2 linked regions of the Drosophila melanogaster genome follow. The protein of the gene in region 2 interacts with the protein of the main gene of each other region in a pairwise test. Each region holds a gene or a part of one and is shown on either strand. Other genes may lie near its edges. The genes, in order: CG32121 and CG34376.

Region 1 (3,600 bases), on a different chromosome or scaffold from region 2:
CCAGCTCCTCCAAGGTATCCGGATTGTCGAGTACTCCTCTATGTTTTGATGACCAAGTCAACGGGCTGATTTACTCGGCCGTTTCGGTGAGTGCCCAGTTGACGAATCGGAATTACAATAAAACAGCACACACACAGACGCACAGACACGGCCAGTGTTATTTGTGTTCTTTGCTGGCAATTAAACCAAATTTATTTAAATAAAATAAGTTTTCCTTGGCTGGCCTGGCCTGGGCGATCTGATCGCAGTGCCACTGTGGGTTTCTGGGTACACTATAAATTTGGCAATTTCCATTGTTCGGATCGCATGTGATGCACTGGGCGGGCGGGCGGTTCACACTTTTGTCCGAGGGCTATTTATAAGAAGCTAGTCCAAGGAAGCTGGGGTGGGTATGTCGGTATGTGGGGGATTTTGGGGATTTCTCGGTCTATGCTGCTGCTGCTGCTGCTGCACCGACGACCATTGGAGGCCCCCCAAAAACAGGCAGCCCGGCCAATGCAAATCCGCAGCGAAGTGACAAGTCCGAGTCTTTTGGTTTTCTTTGCACTTTAGCTAGCCCAGCGTGCAATTGTTGGACGACGGAATTTTCTTCATTCCATTATGTGTGCACATGGGACTGAGAATCGCATCTAAGCATTTCTCTATTGAGAGACGATGGATGGTGGAGGTTGCCTTGCCATGCCATGCCTGATGGGGTACAATGGATGCCTGGCTATGGGATTGGAGGGATGGGGATTGGGGTGGATGGCGACTCGAGATGGAGGGTCGGAGGAGGAGCGGCGCGGCCTTTTTGGCGCTCGTTCACACAAGAAAGTGTTGTCGTGACAGTCAGGCAGCCTTCTTTTCCGTAACTCTTTGGTATTTCGCTCAGTTTTTACTTGATTTTCCGAAATTAGTTTTTCAGCCTTTCAGCTCGGCACCTCCTTCTCCTGTACCGTCCTCTGGCTGTTGTTTTAAATAGCCATCCAAAAAATAAAGATCTGTGCTAAACGCTCTCGCCATGCTGTCTATTTTGATTTGTTGTCCAAGTGCCTGCCTTTTGTCATCCATGGCAATTCATTCCAAAGCACCTCGCAATCGTTTTCATTTCGATTTGGATTTGGCTTTGCCTTTAGCTTTGGTTCATTTCGAAGCTATTTCGTTGATGCGTAATATTTTACACATAATCACTCATACGCCTCGTTGAGAATGTCGAGGGAAGTGGATAGAAAATGAAATCATGCTTAAGCCTTCGCTGCGTTGCCTTTGTTATTGTTGTTTAACTTTCATTTGTTCCATGAAATGTGGCGCACATAAATTTGATGTCAACGCTGTTTTTTTCCGAGAGGTATTTGAATTTCAATATAGAATTCGCACGATCAGCGGTATATGTGAATCACGCATAATCCAGTGGCCCAGCATATCTGCCCCTGGGGAAGTCTAATAATAGAGCTCTATGGCTAACCCTTATGGTTGAGGATCTCGAATTGACTTCTTTTATGCTAATGGGATGCTCGTGGCGATCATCAAATTGAATATTTTCCCTCAACTCATGTTATTTTATGTAGTGTTTTTATGACACGCAGTTTGTTTTTTATCTATCTTTCACATTGAAGATCTCCTTTTGTGCTCGCAGCGACATTACACAATTTACTTGAATAATTTAATCACTCGGTTCTATGTTTATCACTGGGTTCTCGTTAAACGAATCCTTCACATTTTTGTTTTATTTATTTTTCTCTTTTTCTAGCTTTTCACACATATTTTGCTAATGCCATTTTCCCCGCGTCCGTTACGAATTTTCCCTTTCGCGATTTTCGCGACGGGACAAGCGTGCACCTTTGTTAACCGTTTGCTGCTCGCATCTGAAATGAAAAAATCCGAAAATGTTTCAATTCTTTCGGTTTAGTTGGAGATTTTCTATTTTTCGAATGTCCATCTCTTGACAATTTTCCTCTATCTTGTGTTGCTGTTGTTGGTGTTGTAGCTGCTGCTGTTGCTTGTTGGTGTTGCTGTTGGCCCAAATGTTGTTGCTGCTGCTGTTGCCATTTGTTTAGCGGATTCGAATTTGGCTCTCAGCATGTCGGGCGGATCCGTTTGTCGCCCGATTCCATGTTCTTTAATTAATGAGCAGGCCGCATCGGCGCAGCGAAGAGAAATCTCAGCGGTTTTGTACTCGCGATCAGTGTGAAGCCTCTTGGCCAAAAATTAATTGGCTGCCCCGCAGTTAGTTAATCAAAACATTTGCCAGTGGCAAATCATCATGAGGGCATCATCATCATCATCATCATAATCAGGAACTGCGACCACTCCGCCACTAGACACAATTGACACGACTGGCCGACAGGCGGAGGAATTTGTTGGTGCAGCGGCGGCTGCTACTGTTGCGGGATCGTGTGCATTATTAATTTGCAATAAAATGTGGAAGCGGCGACAGCAGTTGCCGCCGTTTGAAAATTGCCCGCCGAAAATAAATTCATATACCTGCGCGTTGGATTTGTGAATTATGCCTGACAAATACAAATGGAACCGCCAGATGGAGACGCCGTTGGTCATCGGGCACCCAGCACCTTCATTATGCACTTTTCAATTCATTAAAATGCCACAAATACTTATTTATTATTGTCATCTGTGCGCACCTCGATTTGGGTTAGCAGCCGCGTAGCTTGGAGGCTGTAAATAGCTCAATGTGTATATAAGCCCTTCACTCAAGGATAATTCCTTACATAAAACGTACGTTAAATGTCAAAGTACCACTAACAACTATCTAGTTGACTGACAATGCAAATGCACACGTGATTGCTATGTACACTCTAAGAAAGAAAAATAAAGTGCATACAGGAAATTATTCATTTATTTTTGATTATGATCAAAGTTAAAGCCTCATCTTAAGAACATATAAATAAATGTATAAAAGTTAATAAAATGATTTGAAATCAACCTACAGATCGCCTAATCTAATCTAATTTATTTAGATCAAAGTTGAGCTTCTAAAGATAAATCTAGTAGCTATAACTAAAGCACTGAGCCTCGCTGCTAGGCTTGCATTGCTTTGTAGGAAAGTCCCAGCCATACTTGTAAGGACATCTCACAATGGTCAGATAGCCGCTGAGGCACCTGTAGTAGTACTCGCACCGCTGGGGATGAGGATGGTCACCATCTCCGGAAATGTCGCAGTGCGGCCTTTCCTGAGCTGGAGAGGAAGGCTTTGCAGATGGGGAGGATGGCGTAGCAGATGTAGTCGGTGGCTCAGTCACTGAAGGAATTGATTCTGTAGGGGTTGTTGTAGAATCAGCTTGGAAAGTAGAAGAGTCCGCAGATCCTGTAGAGGCGTAATCAGAAGGCGGTGTTGGAACGGGAGTGGTTTCTTCGATCCCGCTCTGCTCCTCACCAGTAGTTTGCTTATCGGGCTGCTCCTCAGTCTGGACTGAGTCTGAGTTCCTTAGACACACACCCTCATCATCAAAGGCACACTCTTGGGTTCGATCGTCAAAGTAGGTGGACTCGGGGCAGCTGTCTCGGAAGGAGTCTTCTCCATTGCAATAGATGTATGAAGCGCAATCTTCGATGGCCATGACAAAGGTATCCAATGGAGCATTTGCGCACTGCGGGAAAACTTCG
Region 2 (17,104 bases):
ACAGGGTATTTTTTTTAAGATAAGTAGCAAACAACATTTTTGGAAAAATCCAAAAACGTGTTTATCAACAAGGCAAAGAATATTCGAATTGCGTTTAAAACCAAAGGGGATTTTTTAAATGATTCCAGACTGATTACAAACCGTTTTTATGTTTTTCCCTCTCCCAAAAATAATTCAACGTAATTGCTTGTTTACATAAAGACTGAAAACGACAATAATAACATCAGTAGGAAAGGAGGTCACATTCGTAGTGGAGATGTTATCATCGAAACGCTCAAATACTAAATCAATACATAAAAACAGCTATGATAAGAAATCTGAAAACTTAAATATAAACTCAACAACAGCAACGCAGTAGCAGTAGCACAGCAATAATTATAAAATAAGTAGCATGACATATCATCCGCGTGCTCCCCACTCGTCCTAAGAAGCTGTGGAGCTGTCCGGATTCGAATCGGATCGGCTCCACAGTGGTGCGGATCTGTTATCTCAGGGGTGGTTCGAGATCATGCCACATAAGTTTCAATATTTCATAGTTCACAGTGGGCCATCAAAGTGGTTTTATGTGTTTCAAAAATGCCTATACATATGTTTTAGCCGTGATAATATAAGTTCCCAATCGTTTTTAAATATAAATATGTTTTTTAATGAGTCCAAAAATGCAAGGTCATTATTTATGCTAATTCATCATTTAGCATTTCATTCCCGCCAAAAGTAGGATTCACAAGTGAATTAAAGTGTTTGAACCCGATTCCAGATTAGGTTCGTACTTCTTTCTGACAGATTATTTCGAATTTGCTGATCTGAAACTGATTCTTATCAGCGCTTTCCCATCAACCCCTGCCCACTGTGCATGTCTCGCTAGCAGCATCAACATCTAGTTAAAAACAATATTATCACTTGTTCTCAATAACAATTTTATTACACAAACAGGCGTACATACATCGCATATGTACGACTGTATGTAAATACAATATTAAATCGCCGATCAGCAACAGACAAACTTGGTTGCTTAATCTGACCGAACGACGACATCAATTGTGCCCTATCGTTTGCCGTAGTCGTCATTACGGATCATTCCGTCTCGCCTATCTATCTATCTGCGCCTTGGCATGTCCGTATTCGACCGAGTGATCGCCTGGCGAAGATCAAAATCCAGGCAATATACATATGTATTGCTCCAGGGGTACAGTGCACACATCGGGTCTCAACTGATGCCAGATAGATACGGGATTACACATTGAGGGCACACCGTATACACCACTATCACTATCATTTGCCTCACTTTTCCGTTCACGGAGATGGAGACACATGGCCAGCATCGCCGGAGATAAAGAACGAGCGTGAATCGAGACAAAGAGATCCATATACAAAATTCTTTCGAATCAATAAACCATTTATGGACCCCGACCGTAGAGAAACTCTGTCTAAAGTTCACGGAGAACGTGATAAATCCGTGCATGCTCTGCCGATAAGGGAATCGACAGTACCCAAAACTCAGATCATCGCAGCTCGATCGCTGTTTGCCCAAATGTATGCCATATATGTATGTATGGTACCATCTACCAGGGAATATGGATTTAATGGTCGCCTGACCCGCAGTGATCTCTGCTGATATCAGAGCGTCTGCTAGAATTGGGAATTGGGTACCGGGGAATTGGGGAACTGCAGCGATATCTGCCTCAGTCTCGTTTTTGATTTGTTTTGGGGCCCGAACACCCTCACCAATAAGATCACGCCCACTCCAAATGGTTCAACCAATCGGATCGCAGGCGATCGATTTCGAAACAGTTTTACTTTATGATTATGATAAATGTTTATCGAATCAGAACGCCAATAGGTTCCATTGTTGTTACCCTCAGCGATTCGTTTAGTGCCGTCGGGCTTGTAGTGGAGTGGGCTGCCTCATTTTGACAATGTCGTCGCACGAACATTCATAAATATTTGTTATCTCCGAACGCCATAATAGTCGAGTAGTCGAATCGAATTGTCGTTGTGGTGGTAGTGCAACCTGATAAAAGGCCAACAAGCCCAACGACAGGCCCAGCCAACCCAAAAGCTTGGTCATAGATTTCCATTCGGATACCTCCCTTTTCCGCCCCAAACTCTCTTCGAAAAGAAATGCCCCGAAGGAGCGCAAATGGCCCAGGGATTAGCCCAGCTTAGTCGATTGCCACTTCTTGGCCATTGGCGATTTCTGGCTATTGGCTACTAGCCACTAGCTACTGGCTTCTAACTTCTACAAGGGCAATAAATTACAAATTGTCAACACATATGGGCAATAAAAAAGCATTTATGATATTTCATATGCTCAAAGTCAAAGTTTGATATAATACGAAGAGACCATAAAATACGTACGTAAACAGCTTTCGATTCGATCGATTGGGTAACCCAGAAGCAGGAAATGTAGAAGGGTTTATAAACTCGATAATTCAATTGTATTAACGAATTTAAAAGCGTTAAGTAGATTAGGCAGTAAGCATTACTACAACTCATCTTAATATTTGAGTGAAAGTTTCAAAATATTTCATTTAAGTGTACTATAAAATGCTGATCTTTCGTTTTTGCGAAGATCATCATTACTAAATTATCAAAAAAGTGAATTCCTTTATTTCCTAATTTTAGTACCAATCTCAGATTTTTTGAAAACTCAAAAACTAGCTATCTTTACCTGCCACAAGACCCAATCCTTCGTTGCCGACCAATTCAAACACTTTTGATAATCTTGGCAAGCGTATAACATCGAAATAAACAAATTCAAGATTAGGGGTTAAGAACGCACCGAAACTCAAAGTCCAACGTGGCCAAAAATGGATTATTTTGCCCAAATAAATAGTGCAGCGATCAATAAAAATTTTTTACCCCCTCTGAAGCGTTGGGAAAAAAAATAGCACGACGACTTTGTTTTTAGTCACGGTGCGGCAATATATTAATAACATTGGGTGTTTAATATTTACGACAAGTCCAGCCGGCGAATCGATATTATATTATCTTCCGAACCCAAACGCTGGCTGGTAAGCAACCGCGGCTATATTCGATCGCCGTAGCTACTTCAAATCGGGAGTGGGAATTGCCAGGTGGCCAGGTGGTTAGGGGACTACATGGCAACGGGGATTTGGAAGGGAAGTGGCTTGGACCTGGTTCTTGGAGAGGCCCAATATCACACATGGCACATGCTGCGGCTGTCTGAGTGCGTTATCTAACGAGCAATAAGTTCAAAATCTTATTTTACGATCAAGAGTGATACCCAAAGTAAAGTGGTTGGCACTAAACGCTGGGCTGATAAAACGATTGCCCCCAGACGATGTCCGTCAGCTCAAAGAAGCTGGGGTCGGAAAAATCGAATTTTTGAAATTTGAAAGCTGGAATCGTTTGCCCATTTTTTGCCCATGTTTGCCCACCAATTAGTTTTTTTTGCCCACGTCCAGTTTTTGAGATATGAATTTTCGAAAAAGTTCGAAAATTTTCGAAAATCAAAAATTTCGCTTTTTTCAAAATTTTTTTTTTTAAATCGCAATAACATCGTTTGCCCACGTTTGCCCACCCTTTAGAATTTTGAAAAAATTTATACTTTAGAAAATATAAGGCTTTTAAGTTTACCTCGGTCTAATCAGAGAGTAAATCGTTTGCCCATCTCTTAAAACCAAATATTATCAACAAAAAACGTTTGCCCAACCATTATTATTAGTTTTTATCGTTTGCCCACCCTTTAAAAAACCTTTAACAAAAATTTTTTTTCGATTGCCCACATTTAAAATACAACCAATTTCCTTAGCCAACCTCTTTAAAATAAAAATTTCCAATAAAAAAAGTTTGCCCACCATTTAAAACTAAATAATTTCGATTGCCCACCTTTTAAAACTAAATAATTTCGTTTGCCCATCCTTTAAAATTCATTTTTAACGTTTGCCCACCCTTTAAAAATAAATTATTTCGTTTGCCCACCCTTTAAAATTTGTTTTTTTCGTTTGCCCACTCTTAAAACTAAATAATTTCGATTGCCCACCTTTTAAAACTAAATAATTTCGTTTGCCCATCCTTTAAAATTCATTTTTAACGTTTGCCCACCCTTTAAAAATAAATTATTTCGTTTGCCCACCCTTTAAAATTTGTTTTTTTCGTTTGCCCACTCTTAAAACTAAATAATTTCGATTGCCCACCTTTTAAAACTAAATAATTTCGTTTGCCCATCCTTTAAAATTCATTTTTAACGTTTGCCCACCCTTTAAAAATAAATTATTTCGTTTGCCCACCCTTTAAAATTTGTTTTTTTCGTTTGCCCACTCTTAAAACTAAATAATTTCGATTGCCCACCTTTTAAAACTAAATAATTTCGTTTGCCCATCCTTTAAAATTCATTTTTAACGTTTGCCCACCCTTTAAAAATAAATTATTTCGTTTGCCCACCCTTTAAAATTTGTTTTTTTCGTTTGCCCACTCTTAAAACTAAATAATTTCGATTGCCCACCTTTTAAAACTAAATAATTTCGTTTGCCCATCCTTTAAAATTCATTTTTAACGTTTGCCCACCCTTTAAAAATAAATTATTTCGTTTGCCCACCCTTTAAAATTTGTTTTTTTCGTTTGCCCACTCTTAAAACTAAATAATTTCGATTGCCCACCTTTTAAAACTAAATAATTTCGTTTGCCCATCCTTTAAAATTCATTTTTAACGTTTGCCCACCCTTTAAAAATAAATTATTTCGTTTGCCCACCCTTTAAAATTTGTTTTTTTCGTTTGCCCACTCTTAAAACTAAATAATTTCGATTGCCCACCTTTTAAAACTAAATAATTTCGTTTGCCCATCCTTTAAAATTCATTTTTAACGTTTGCCCACCCTTTAAAAATAAATTATTTCGTTTGCCCACCCTTTAAAATTTGTTTTTTTCGTTTGCCCACTCTTAAAACTAAATAATTTCGAAAATATTTTATTCCAGAATTTTCTTGAGCTTGGAGAGTGTTGATAAACATACATACATTTTTTTGCATATATATTATATTGCAATATAAAATATTTTCCATGAAATGAAACAATGATTAAGAAAAATTGATGTTACAATTCATGAATGATTAACACTATGGATATATTGAAAATGTATGTAAATATGTAAATAACTGTTCTTTTGTAAGTAACTGTGCTTTTGACGCCACATCTTACAATTATTACATACATATGTACAAATTTATTTTTAATAGGTGAAAAATCGAAAAAACCATTTTTAAGAGGTGGGCAAACGAAAAAAACAAATTTTAAAGGGTGGGCAAACGAAATAATTTATTTTTAAAGGGTGGGCAAACGTTAAAAATGAATTTTAAAGGATGGGCAAACGAAATTATTTAGTTTTAAAAGGTGGGCAATCGAAATTATTTAGTTTTAAATGGTGGGCAAACTTTTTTTATTGGAAATTTTTATTTTAAAGAGGTTGGCTAAGGAAATTGGTTGTATTTTAAATGTGGGCAATCGAAAAAAAATTTTTGTTAAAGGTTTTTTAAAGGGTGGGCAAACGATAAAAACTAATAATAATTGTTGGGCAAACGTTTTTTGTTGATAATATTTGGTTTTAAGAGATGGGCAAACGATTTACTCTCTGATTAGACCGAGGTAAACTTAAAAGCCTTATATTTTCTAAAGTATACATTTTTTCAAAATTCTAAAGGGTGGGCAAACGTGGGCAAACGATGTTATTGCGATTTAAAAAAAAAAAATTTTGAAAAAAGCGAAATTTTTGATTTTCGAAAATTTTCGAACTTTTTCGAAAATTCATATCTCAAAAACTGGACGTGGGCAAAAAAAACTAATTGGTGGGCAAACATGGGCAAAAAATGGGCAAACGATTCCAGCTTTCAAATTTCAAAAATTCGATTTTTCCGACCCCAGCTTCTTTGAGCTATGTCCGTCTTGTTTATGCCAATAATAAATAGATAATTTTGGAGGATTAGCATTGTATTGGGGACTGTGACTGTTGGCCAGATATAACCACTTGGAACGGCACAGTGTGGATTGATTTACACGTCCGGAGCAGCGGAAACACGTATATATGTTGCGAGGCTCTCTAATCAATATCTCGACTAAACTAAATTCTTCGAGTGGCTGTAAGGGTGAAGGAGTGGGCGGGCGGGCACTCAGTTACTCAGTTGGGCAATAAATGATTGTTAAACGCGATAAAAAGATAAAAAATATTTCGACTATTGTTGTTGTTTCTGCGTGTTACACACGGAACAAACACATAGCCATTTGGCTTGTTAGCACCTCGATGACTGTTGTTGGCTGGGCTGGTCTACATTTAATAGCTTGCCCCCGCTTGGGTTCGCCGTTATTTATAGGGTATATTAATATTCTTTATCTTTGGAAATACCTCTTGTAGCAGCGTTTGTGGGTAGGTAGCACCTTCCTGCAGCTACTTGAAAAGATAAAACCTTATTTTTTATGGCCGCCTGATCAGATAAAGCCACCGTGCAGCAGGCAGCCGTGTTCAACACGACTGCGAACGAAATCGGAATCGTACCGACCAGGAGGGGCCGCGGCGATATCATATCCATACACCATATAGCGTACATAAATAGTAGTACACCACCGTTCTAGAGTCCATTTGAAGTACATTTGATGAGGTCAGCAACGCACCCAATCTCCCCGATCCGATCGAAGTGGGCTGCGGCTCCGACTCTGCGCTCTCTTGCCATGGACCTTATCACGATACTCCCTCCGCCGGTGGATACTCCGTGCGTGGCGTGGGTAAACAATCCCGGTGTGCCTCCGGAGGCGGAGGACTCCGGCAGCTACCACACAGGCATAGACAACGCGGCGGCACTCCGGCTCACCGGAGGATTATCACCAGACCTCGATTCTTAGTGGGTTGCTGCTGTTTGTCTTTAGATTTACGACTCTACAGTCAAACTTCACTAACTGGAACATGAATCAGAAACGGACAGATATTACGAATTGGATTATATTACCCTGAATTGGATTAGTAAATCAAATCGGTTATCAAATGATTACAGTTCATTACAAAGTCTTTAGATAACTGTAGGCTGGATAAACCTTAATGCATTTGCATAAACGATTTATAATCTTCCTAATATCGCTGCACTACTTAATTTTAATGGGCGATCCATCAAACGACTAACAATATTATTCGATTGATTACTTTGTATGCTAAAAAAAAGGCAAGTTAGGCTTATGAAATAAAGTGTAAAGTTAATAGGGCGGGTATAGTTGGATTTATGGTAGCGATACTGTAAAGACAGACGTAGTCGTGCTGGGACGCTCGTCTGGAACTCGGAATCGAACTGGCGGTGGAGCTGGGCTGATAACCACCGAATGTGTCATGGAATTTAACACAAAGGTTGATTTATATCTAAGCGTTTGACAAGAGTGATGAACAGACAGGCTGACGGGCGGGCTCCTCGATAAACTGACACCGCTGTCCCAGTGATAAACTGACCGATTTCTGGGGGAATATGCTTGACCAAGTAACCAGCAGTCACTCTTCCCTGGCATTATACAGACTATGTATGTATGTGAAGGGTATGAAATAGCCCAGCGAATAGTCAGACTCTTTTCCGGCTTATTAAAATTCCAAGAAAATATGTCTACAATGTATTTGCAATGCCAAGAGCCAAGCAATTTGTAAGAAACCCGAATCCTTCAGTTACGCACTCAATGTTCCATTAGGATCATCCATATGCATGGCAACGAAAGCTCGGAACATTAAACTTGACCAATTTCTGGAAGACCACTTCCGTGCCCAGTATCAAAATACACATATAAATGCCGCGCTGACAATGTAAGCCACGCTGCATAACTTAGCATTTAAACCGGGGACGCCGGCGATGGGGCCGCAATCTTGTGCTGCCTAATCGGTGTACTCACTGATGGGATGCTTGCAGGGATTGGTAGTGAATATCTCCTGGAAGTAGGGGCTGCAGATAGCCAGCACTATCTTGTGGGCATGGAGGAGCTTTCCATCGCAGGCGAGGGTCACGTCCACCAGGTCGCCGCGGTCGTACAAATTCTGGAAGCCGCTGGCTATGTTGTCCTGGAAGTTCTTCCAGCACAGCTTAAACTCGTCGTCCATCGCGGATGCGGATGCTCGCCGAAAACCAGACTTTTCCAATTCCAATTGGGGAGCGTAATTTATGCGCACAGACTTTTGCGATGATTCTCGTGCGAATCTGTTTTTTATGGCTTTTGTTTATCCGCTTTGCTCGTGATTCGTTCACGGGCCAAAAATCGCAATTCACGTATTCTCGCGCACCTTTATTTTTATTATATCAAGGGTTCGAATTTGATAAACTAGCTACCAACTACTCGATCCGCATTCACGCGCACACGATCTCGAGTCGTTCGCGTCCACGGGCGCATTGATTTTGATTTGGGCTCTAATTAACACAGTGTGATTTAAACATTTTTATCGGAAAGCGTGAAAAGCAGCGACGCTGTTTACGTTCCGGCTGATAATGAACGCACCACCCCCCCGCACTTTGAGGAACAGTGAAATGTTGGTTTTTTAGGCGCCACAGCGAACGGTCTCACTGGCCACTGGTAAACAAACGAAAATGTTTGCTGAACTTTAATTCCAGCTATAAAAATTTGATTAACAATCAAAACTGTTATCACAAAGAAAAACGTTAGAGAGGAATGAAATTCTGGGATTTTATACAGAAATAATAATTCTAAAGAGATTATAAATCCTGCAAATATATATTTTTGTAAAATGTATGTTAACTACTAATTTGTTAAAAATGTTCGCAATTACTACGTAAATTGCTTGAATTGTCAAATGCTTCTAAGCGTTTTTGAAATCTGGCCCACAAGAGCGGAATTTTCAATCGATAGCCTTTTCGATAAACGATATCATAACGACAATTGAATATTTAGCGCCAATTAGAGAGCATTGAAAACGTTTTCCCCTGATAAGAGCTTATCGCAATTGGTTTGTTGGTCGCTTCGTTGCGGTTATATCCGACCGGCATTGTCCGCTTTTATCACAGTTCTACGGTTCTTTGCACGATGCTAATACGGCCGATGGGGAACTACACTGTTGATAGCAGACCTACCCATGGTGTCATAAATAACCCACTTTACATTTTAAACAAAAAGAGAATAAAAGTAACAGCAGGGCTTATCAATTAGCCATGAGTCGTTTGTACGCCTCAGGTGCACACATACGCACCCAGTCAATTGGCCACCGATTTGATTTGCCCGATTTAGTGCTCAAAGAACTTTCAGCAAATTAGCCCACTCGTCCCGAGAATCAGTAAAGAGTATACCATAATGGGTTGTTGTTTTGGTAAGTGATTTGCAGCTATCTTCAGAAGGCAATAACAGCGACTAATAATAGTTGTGTACTTGCAGGCAAAAGTAAATCAGTCGATTTGCCCGCGGTTCCGCCGGCTCCAGCCAAACAACGCTCCACTCTGCCAGAATTCCCGATTTCTGGATCGGTGACTAGCACGGCTCCTGCAGGATCTGGATATGGATCTGGAGGAGCCACCAATGCGGCCCTCGAGGATGACTAGACGTGGTTAAAGGAACAGAAAAAACGTTCACGTCCAGGGAAAACTGTAAATTTGCCAAATGGCAGATTGGATTATGAGTCATTCCGTGCCGAGATGTGGTTTTTTCAAAGTTGTGCACCCTTTGTAGTTAGTATTGTAGTAAAATACGTTGTTTATTGTTGGAGAGTATAAAATTGTTGGTAAATTAAATCATAACTTTAATCTCTTTGAATAAGTTGCTGTTCTGTTTTTTTTCCTGTTTCGCCAGTTTATATTTTAGCGCGCCAAGTGTCGCCCTATACAACACTGAAACAAGGGCGGTATTTTTCGGTATTTTAAAAAGGGTCATACCATTCTCTGCCAGCACGTGTGTGCGGCTGTTTTTGTGTTTAACTTAAATTTTAAACGATTTATGCTGTAAATAGGCAAATATAATTTATAATATTATTATTAAAGCAAAATGGCCATTCAACCCAATCGAAGAAAGAGAAGGCACGAGGAGACAACTGCTGAGCAAGAGGATGAAGGTGAAGTGGAGGTGCCCAAAAAACTGGCCAAGGAGTCCGACACACCGAAGAAAAAGAAAAAGAAGGATAAAACTAAGGAATCATTCGATGAATCCACGCTGGAAAGCACTGAAACCGATCCTGCTGACTCCACTCCATCAAAGAAGAAGTCTAAAAAGACAAAGACATCCGACACAAGTGTAGAACAACAGGTGGAAGTGGAGATGGCTGAGGATGAAATAAGTCGCGATTCCGGGATTGATCCCGAAGAATCCCGCATACACTTTCCCAACGACTTTAAGATGATGCACTTTCGAACCAAGCTTCGCGGCAATAACTTCATAACAGGTGGGTTAATACGTTCAATAAAAGATCGCTAACTCACGAATCCCAATTCCAGAACTGCGACACTTCCTGCACATGTGCTCAACCACGCGTCCTAAGCTTGCGGCTAAGTACATAGAAAAGCGTGGAAAGCCCTTGGAGTTAGCAGAAGCATTCGAAAGGATCGATAAGACTAATTTATTTCACGTGGACTACCTCACAGAGGCTTTGCACCGAGTTTTGATGGAAATACTTACCAACCAGAAGAGCCACATGGAGTCGGCTGTCCACGGGTGTAGATATTTTCTCAAGGTTCACGGAGGAGTGCTCGAAAATCAAATGAAATCAATGCAGCTAGGCCATCGGCGTAATGCCCTAAAACTGCTCACCGCTATTGTGTGCGTGGAGCCTCAATTGGCCCGCCAAGTTCTGAATTCGTATGATGTGCTTTCCAACGTGACTGTGACGCAGAAATTGCTGTCCCATGAAAAAAGTGAATACCAATGCGAGGATACAGTGCGCAAAGCGTTTATTCTCTTTATTTTGGCCTTCCTGGTCGAGGGCAATACTCTACTTATCCGGAACATCCTGGATCGAGGGCAACTAATTGGTGTGCTGGCCAAGGGATTGGTTTACGATGACCACGTAACCGTCTGCGTGGTGCTTAACGCACTACGGCAATATGTGCTGGAGAACCCCGAAATACAGAAGACCAAAAAGGTTCTGGTTTTCGATTTAGAGTGCTGCAAAAATCTGCGTCGCCTCTACGATTGGGAGGGACCCATGGGACTCAAGGTGATGTTTGCTAAATCGAAACATGTTTCTAAGATACCTCCAAACCCACAGGAGGCGGAAGCGGTATCGGCTGCCGTTCACGAACTCCTGCTAGTCCTTTTGACTTCCCGCAAGCACGGCATCTGCTTTGATGCGATGACGCACTACCGCCAAAAGCAAAACAAACTGCAGGGCAGATTACTTGGCTCTCTATTCAAGCCCTACGATAATCCGCGCAAAGTGGATTTGGTTATTCAAACACTAACTGCTTGTCCAGACTTGGGACGCAATACAGTGAGGAATTGTTCCTCTCTGCTCAGTCCGGTCAAAACCAAGCCGAAAGATTTGCCCATAGCTGTGGCGTTTCTCGCCCAAATCATTAATGCAGTCCCGCCCAGTGCTCTATCAGCAGCATTCGATAAGATGACCCTAACGGATTTCTCATTTTGGATCAAGGAGCTGTGTTTGCCCATCGAAGCTTTGCTTCACATTACGGGTAAGAAGTACCTGAGCGATCCAGACTTCAATTTGAGATTGGCTGTACTGCGTCTGCTGCTTTCCATGATGAAACAGTACAGCAACTATATGAATGCCATTGCTGTCCGAGAGCAATCAAAAAAAGCCGGCAACTCGCTGCGTAAATTTAAGTTCGATTTACTTAACCATCTGCTGGTGCATTTTCCCACTATCGAGTCCATCCTATATTCGCTTTACATGTTCATCAAACAGAAAAACGTGGAAGGAGTGAATGTACTTGAGAGTTTATCAATCACTTTAGATCTGGTGATGCTACTCTGCAAGGAGAATCGAGCGTTTGTGAATAAGACAAGTCAGATTCTGGATTATTTGGATGTGTTGCGACCCCTATACGAAACTGATTTTGACAAACTGAATCAACCGGAAGAGCTCTTGAAGATTCAATTAGAACTGAAGTCGATTAAAACCATCCTGCTGCTCTTTCCGCACTCCTTGAACCCAACCCAACCGCTTTTCGGGAACGTATTCAAATCATTCATAAAAGCCTACATGTTGGAGGAAAAATCAATCAAATCGGAGTCTGGAAACATATTGAGTCGGCTGTTCCAAAACACAGGGATGTTTGACTCCTGCAGGCATGAGATCAATATCTGGATAGAGGCCCTTATTGGATTCGGTCCCGCTACGGTGACCAACGTAGTAGAGATTCTGCTGACCATACTCTGTTTGGATTGGAGACAGATTGAGCTTCCTGAACAAAGCGTTACGGATACTGCCATAATCACCAAGAACCTGAGCAAATTGTTTGCTCAAATTGAGCAAGGTCAAACAGTGCAAGCTTATGTGGAAACTCTTACCCTTAGCAAGATGATGCCGCTGTTGCTAAAGGGTGTAGAATTGGAGGAACCATACGACGAATATGTGGAGCTAGTATTTGTTCTGCTTTTCCACTATCACAGCAAGCCGGAAATAGTGCTGCAAATGTACGAGGATAACTTAAGCAAGCACACTAACTATATGAAGAGTTGGCTGCCTGGTGAAGGAAATGGTAAACCAAAGAAACTTCCCCACCTTATATTTGATAAATGGCCCTTGCTTAAGCAAATGCGAAAGGTTAGCACCGAAAGTGAAAACATGTCATTCGAGCAGGTATTTAAAATGGATGATACGGAAAACAACTTCGAGCTACAACTAGAAGAGGGCCAGACAATGTTGTTGCATTCCTCCCTCGGAAATCCACGTCGCAATATGATCTACGTCCAGGATTTGCTTTTCGTTTTTAGCCATTTCTTCACCAGCCAGAAATTAAGCAAACCTCAAGCAGAGCTGACAGCAGATTTTCTTATTAAATTCCTTCAAATTGCCAGTCAGGTAGATGGGCCAGAAGAAGTTCAGGAGTCGGATGATGAGCAGCAGGACGAAAATTTTACTCAAAGTATGCTGCACTATATATTTAACCATCGTCTGTGGCAATTGCACCCCACTGAATTGCTTAGTGAGACGAGCGAATCTCGCTTGAACTATGTTATCTTCCTCAGGAGATTAATGGAGCATTGCCGCAGCTTGCCTCGATTCGAGACCTATACTGCCAACTATCGCTTGCACTTGATTAAGACCCTGGATATTGCTTTGGATACACCGGTGGACCAGTTGGGAAATCAGCAGCAGCTCGACGAGTGTGTGAAATTGGTGGATTCATTTGAATTCAATTCTGATCAATGCTCTCAAATGCTGGACTTGCTAACAACCAAAGTGCAAGCAAAGGACTGCATTCCGAATGGTAAACCAAATCATTACTTTGATCTACTTCTACGTTTGCTGGGTCGATTGAACACGTTAAAGGAGCCCATTGATTGCGGGAAGTCATTTAAATTAATCCTGACCTTCTACAAGGACTTCGGCGAGCTGAATGAACAGCAACTGGAACCATTTGAGTTGGCCGTCTTGGAGTTTTTGCTCAATTACCATCATCACATGGATGAGTGCGACAGTGAGTTCTTTGCCTGTTTCTTTACATCCTCTCGAAAACTCAGCAAATCCGCCATTCGTTTGGCCTGCTTGCTGCTCGAGCGCCAGCCCCGATTAGCTGAAACATTCGCAGAGTTACTGCCAAGCAATTTGGAGCAAAAGGATTTGGTGTACCCCCTCCTGGATATTGCTCTGACGAAGAACTATCAGATACCTCTACCAGTGCTTCAACGTTGCTATCAGACCTACAAGAACGGCTTCATGAAGAGCATCGAGAAGCCACAGAAGGCTGCCCTAATTTACCGGGAGCATTCGGAGGCTAGCGCTCTTCTTATTGCACTTTGCATGCCAAAGTCTGAGTGCTTCGATTACTGCCAGAAACAACTGAAGCTCGATTCCGTGGAACTTTTCCAGGTGCGAGTCCTGCGTGAGATTTACTGGCAGGGCTTTGCTGCCGCTAAGGATGAAAAGCAAAAGGCCACCGTCTTTGTTAATTATATAAACCTTAATGTTCAACTGTTAGCACTGGATTTGAAGAAACAGGCTTTGGATCTGCCTAAGCTAGAGCAAATCTCGTGGAACTGTTACGAGTGGTGGAAGACGAATCGGACCGACGATCTACCCTTGGACTGGAGTCGCTTGCAAAAGAACCCGCAGTGGCTTAACTTTTGCAAGAGTAGCTTAAAGTTGGCCCTTCACCTCGGCGAGGAACGATTGCCACTTCAGGATGAAACAAATGGGCTTGTTCTAAAGCTGATGGCCTTCCTGTGTGATGGAATGTATGATGAATATAAGGAGGATGCACAGCAGGAGGAGGATGCAACACCAACACTTCTATACGAAATGATTTGCACGCACTCCTGCTGTTTTGACCATCTCTTAGGCAAGCCAAGTGAAACCAAAACGCACATTTTACACCTAATGGAGGTGTTGGCCAGAAAGGCTCCTAGTGCCCTGCAATCTGATCACATACCCGTAATCCTTGGCTCCTATCATGCAAAACTGTCACCTGCGGATCGATATGGATTAGCACTGCTGGAGCACTACGAACGCTTTGACGTGGGCTTGGATAAGTTTAGACCTTTCATTTGGGGCGAAAGTGCTGTGGCCCATTATGCCCTGAGGGCTGCGGACGAGGATGTGCGAACCAGGCTGCAACAGCAGGAGACGAATGTGGCTCAGGTGCTAGCCCTGATTGTTCGAGAGACTAGCGAGTACACCATTGAAAATTTCCCGATTTGGAGAAGCCTCCATGCTAGCCAACAACTACCCTCCACGGAGTTTCAAAATCCTGCTAAGAAATCCATGAGCTTTGGCGACAATCAGTTGGAGCAAATGGTGGAGCAGGGTCAGCTAGATTTCCCACAGGATTTACGACGAATTTGCCCGAAGCGCGAGACTATATACGAGACCTGCTACGATCCCGCCTTCCTGTTACCCCTGATGATGCACTGCTTTGCACCCGAGTCCGTAGTGTGGGCCCGTTGGCCTGTCCAGAATGGATTACTGGCGATCACCTTCTGCGGTCTATCATCTCTGGACAAGGACATGAGACTGGCGGCTGCCAGTTGCCAGCAACGCTATCGTGCTCATTTCGAGCTCTCCAATTTCTACGAGCGTCCGCTGTGGACGCAGGCCTATGAGAACATTCAGGCAGGATTGGCTGATCTGAGAAACTCCTGGCTGGCACAGAGGAGAACGCATGGCGGAACGCCTAGAGTTCCTTTGATTCCTGGCCTGTTTATCGCTCACAGCTTTAATTTGAGCACAGAGCCAACGCATTTGCTGTACAAGCGACTGATGATGTATTTGCGGCTGAAACAGAGCTTCAACTTTCAAACGATACCCGACTTCAATGTTTTCTTCTACTCCCAGGAACCAGAGCACCAGCAGTACCGCGAGTTTATCGTGGAGTTGCTTAGATGCGGCATTAAGTGCAGCGCCGACCTTTTCCTGCTGGTATCCACCAATACGTTCAAGGTCCTCCTTGGATTCTACGGCTCCAGTTTGGCCAGTTTGGAAACGAATCTGCTGCTGCTTTCGGTGCTCTCCACATGCGTCAAAATTCCCGGAGCTGTGAAAATCATGCTGGAGCACGTAGGCATCCTGTCCTGGCTGGTGGGCGTAATCCGCGACACAGAGTTCCATCAGTTCGATATCATCGAGGGTGTCATCAGCATCCTCAACAATCTGTGGTATGCCTTGGCCGCGTCCCGTTCGGAACTGACGGATTACGACCACATCCAGTTGCGAGTTTACCGTCTGGTGTTGCAGCTACTGCCGCTGCTCTCTCCACGGATATCAGTTCCTGGCTTGGGTCGCCTGTTCAACGTTCTGTGGAAAACTGGCTCGGCCTGTGGCCAGCATCGTGCCGTGTCCGCCACCCAAATGGATACCCTGCTGGAGTGCGTTTCACGCCAATGGCCCGATCAGCTGGCGAGTGTGCGTTATGTACGGAGCTTTGGCAGCGCTGGCGCCTGTTCGCGTTCCGAATACTGCGACTGGCTGGCCAAGGATCAAAAGCTGGAGACTCCTGCCGTCCTCGCGTTGTCCAGTCTGCGGGAATATGTCATTGACTGGGCGCAAGCGCATAAATCGGAGAGTGACGGGGAAACCAAGCTGCTGGTGGAACCAACGGAGTAGCGATTTTTTATTGTTTTTGCTTAGGTTAAGCTATAAAATTGTGTTAACTGTATAGGCACTTAAAATCATCGAACCATTAAATTGTATGCAATGAAACGACAAATCTAAATCTTATACTTTTTCCTGTGTAAATAATAATTCAGTGAAATACTATATAATGATGGAGTATTCCTCTTAGAGCTCCAGACTGACTGATTACCGCCGTAACTCATTCTGTATCAATATTTGTGGGAGTCACTCGAAAGCGAATCACTTAAAGATGTGTTGAAAACGAACTGTCATGTCTCCGGCTGATCCAAAAGCACCCTCAGCCTTCATTAGTCGGCCCGCAGCGTATGACAAATTACGGACAATCAGCATAACAAAAGATCAGTTGGGCCAAAAGAGATGGAAATCCGGAGACAAAGTATTGGACCATGGCAAAACCCTTTAGCGTTTGTTAATTTGGCCAATCCGTTTTCACACGCACCACAAGTGGGCGTCCACCGATGCCCACCCAGCATCCATAAGGTGTGCATGCATCTTTCGCGACCCCAGACCCACCTACAATTTGTTGGGTCAACAAAATGTTAATCACCACAAAGAGCTTAGCCAAAAGAAGATGGAAACGAATAATTTTTGGTCTTTGGATTTCTAATATGTAAAGCAAAGTGCGCAAAGTTGACGCAATCGACGAACGAAAATATTCACAAGATTTATGATCTTACTAGCTGTCTCGAAATCTAAGCCACTTTGTTACATAAAACTCGCGGTTGGGTTGGGCTCTGGAGTTGCAGATGCGGCTGGATGCGACATAATTGATTGATATTGCCTGGCATTTTGTTAGCCAAAACGTATCAAATGTATCTTTTGGCCTGAAAAATATAGTGGATCGAATAAATGTATAAATTTGATTGGCTCAAGGCATAAACAA

The links.
Region 1: the proteins of CG34376 (region 2) and CG32121 interact in a two-hybrid assay, tested with the Drosophila melanogaster proteins (one study listed by BioGRID).

Annotation. Positions count from the first base shown.
Region 1 is NT_037436.4:13,420,504-13,424,103, forward strand, and holds the start of CG32121 (uncharacterized protein), read right to left. Parts: upstream 1,834-3,600; 5' UTR 1,819-1,833; intron 1-1,818. Other genes in the region: CG33263 (uncharacterized protein), read right to left, coding at 2,982-3,600.
Region 2 is NT_033777.3:22,439,388-22,456,491, reverse strand, and holds the start of CG34376 (uncharacterized protein), read right to left. Parts: upstream 8,394-17,104; 5' UTR 8,077-8,393; coding exon 7,872-8,076; intron 1-7,871. Other genes in the region: CG34288 (uncharacterized protein), read left to right, coding at 9,276-9,291, 9,357-9,520; CG12499 (uncharacterized protein), read left to right, coding at 9,960-10,353, 10,406-16,191.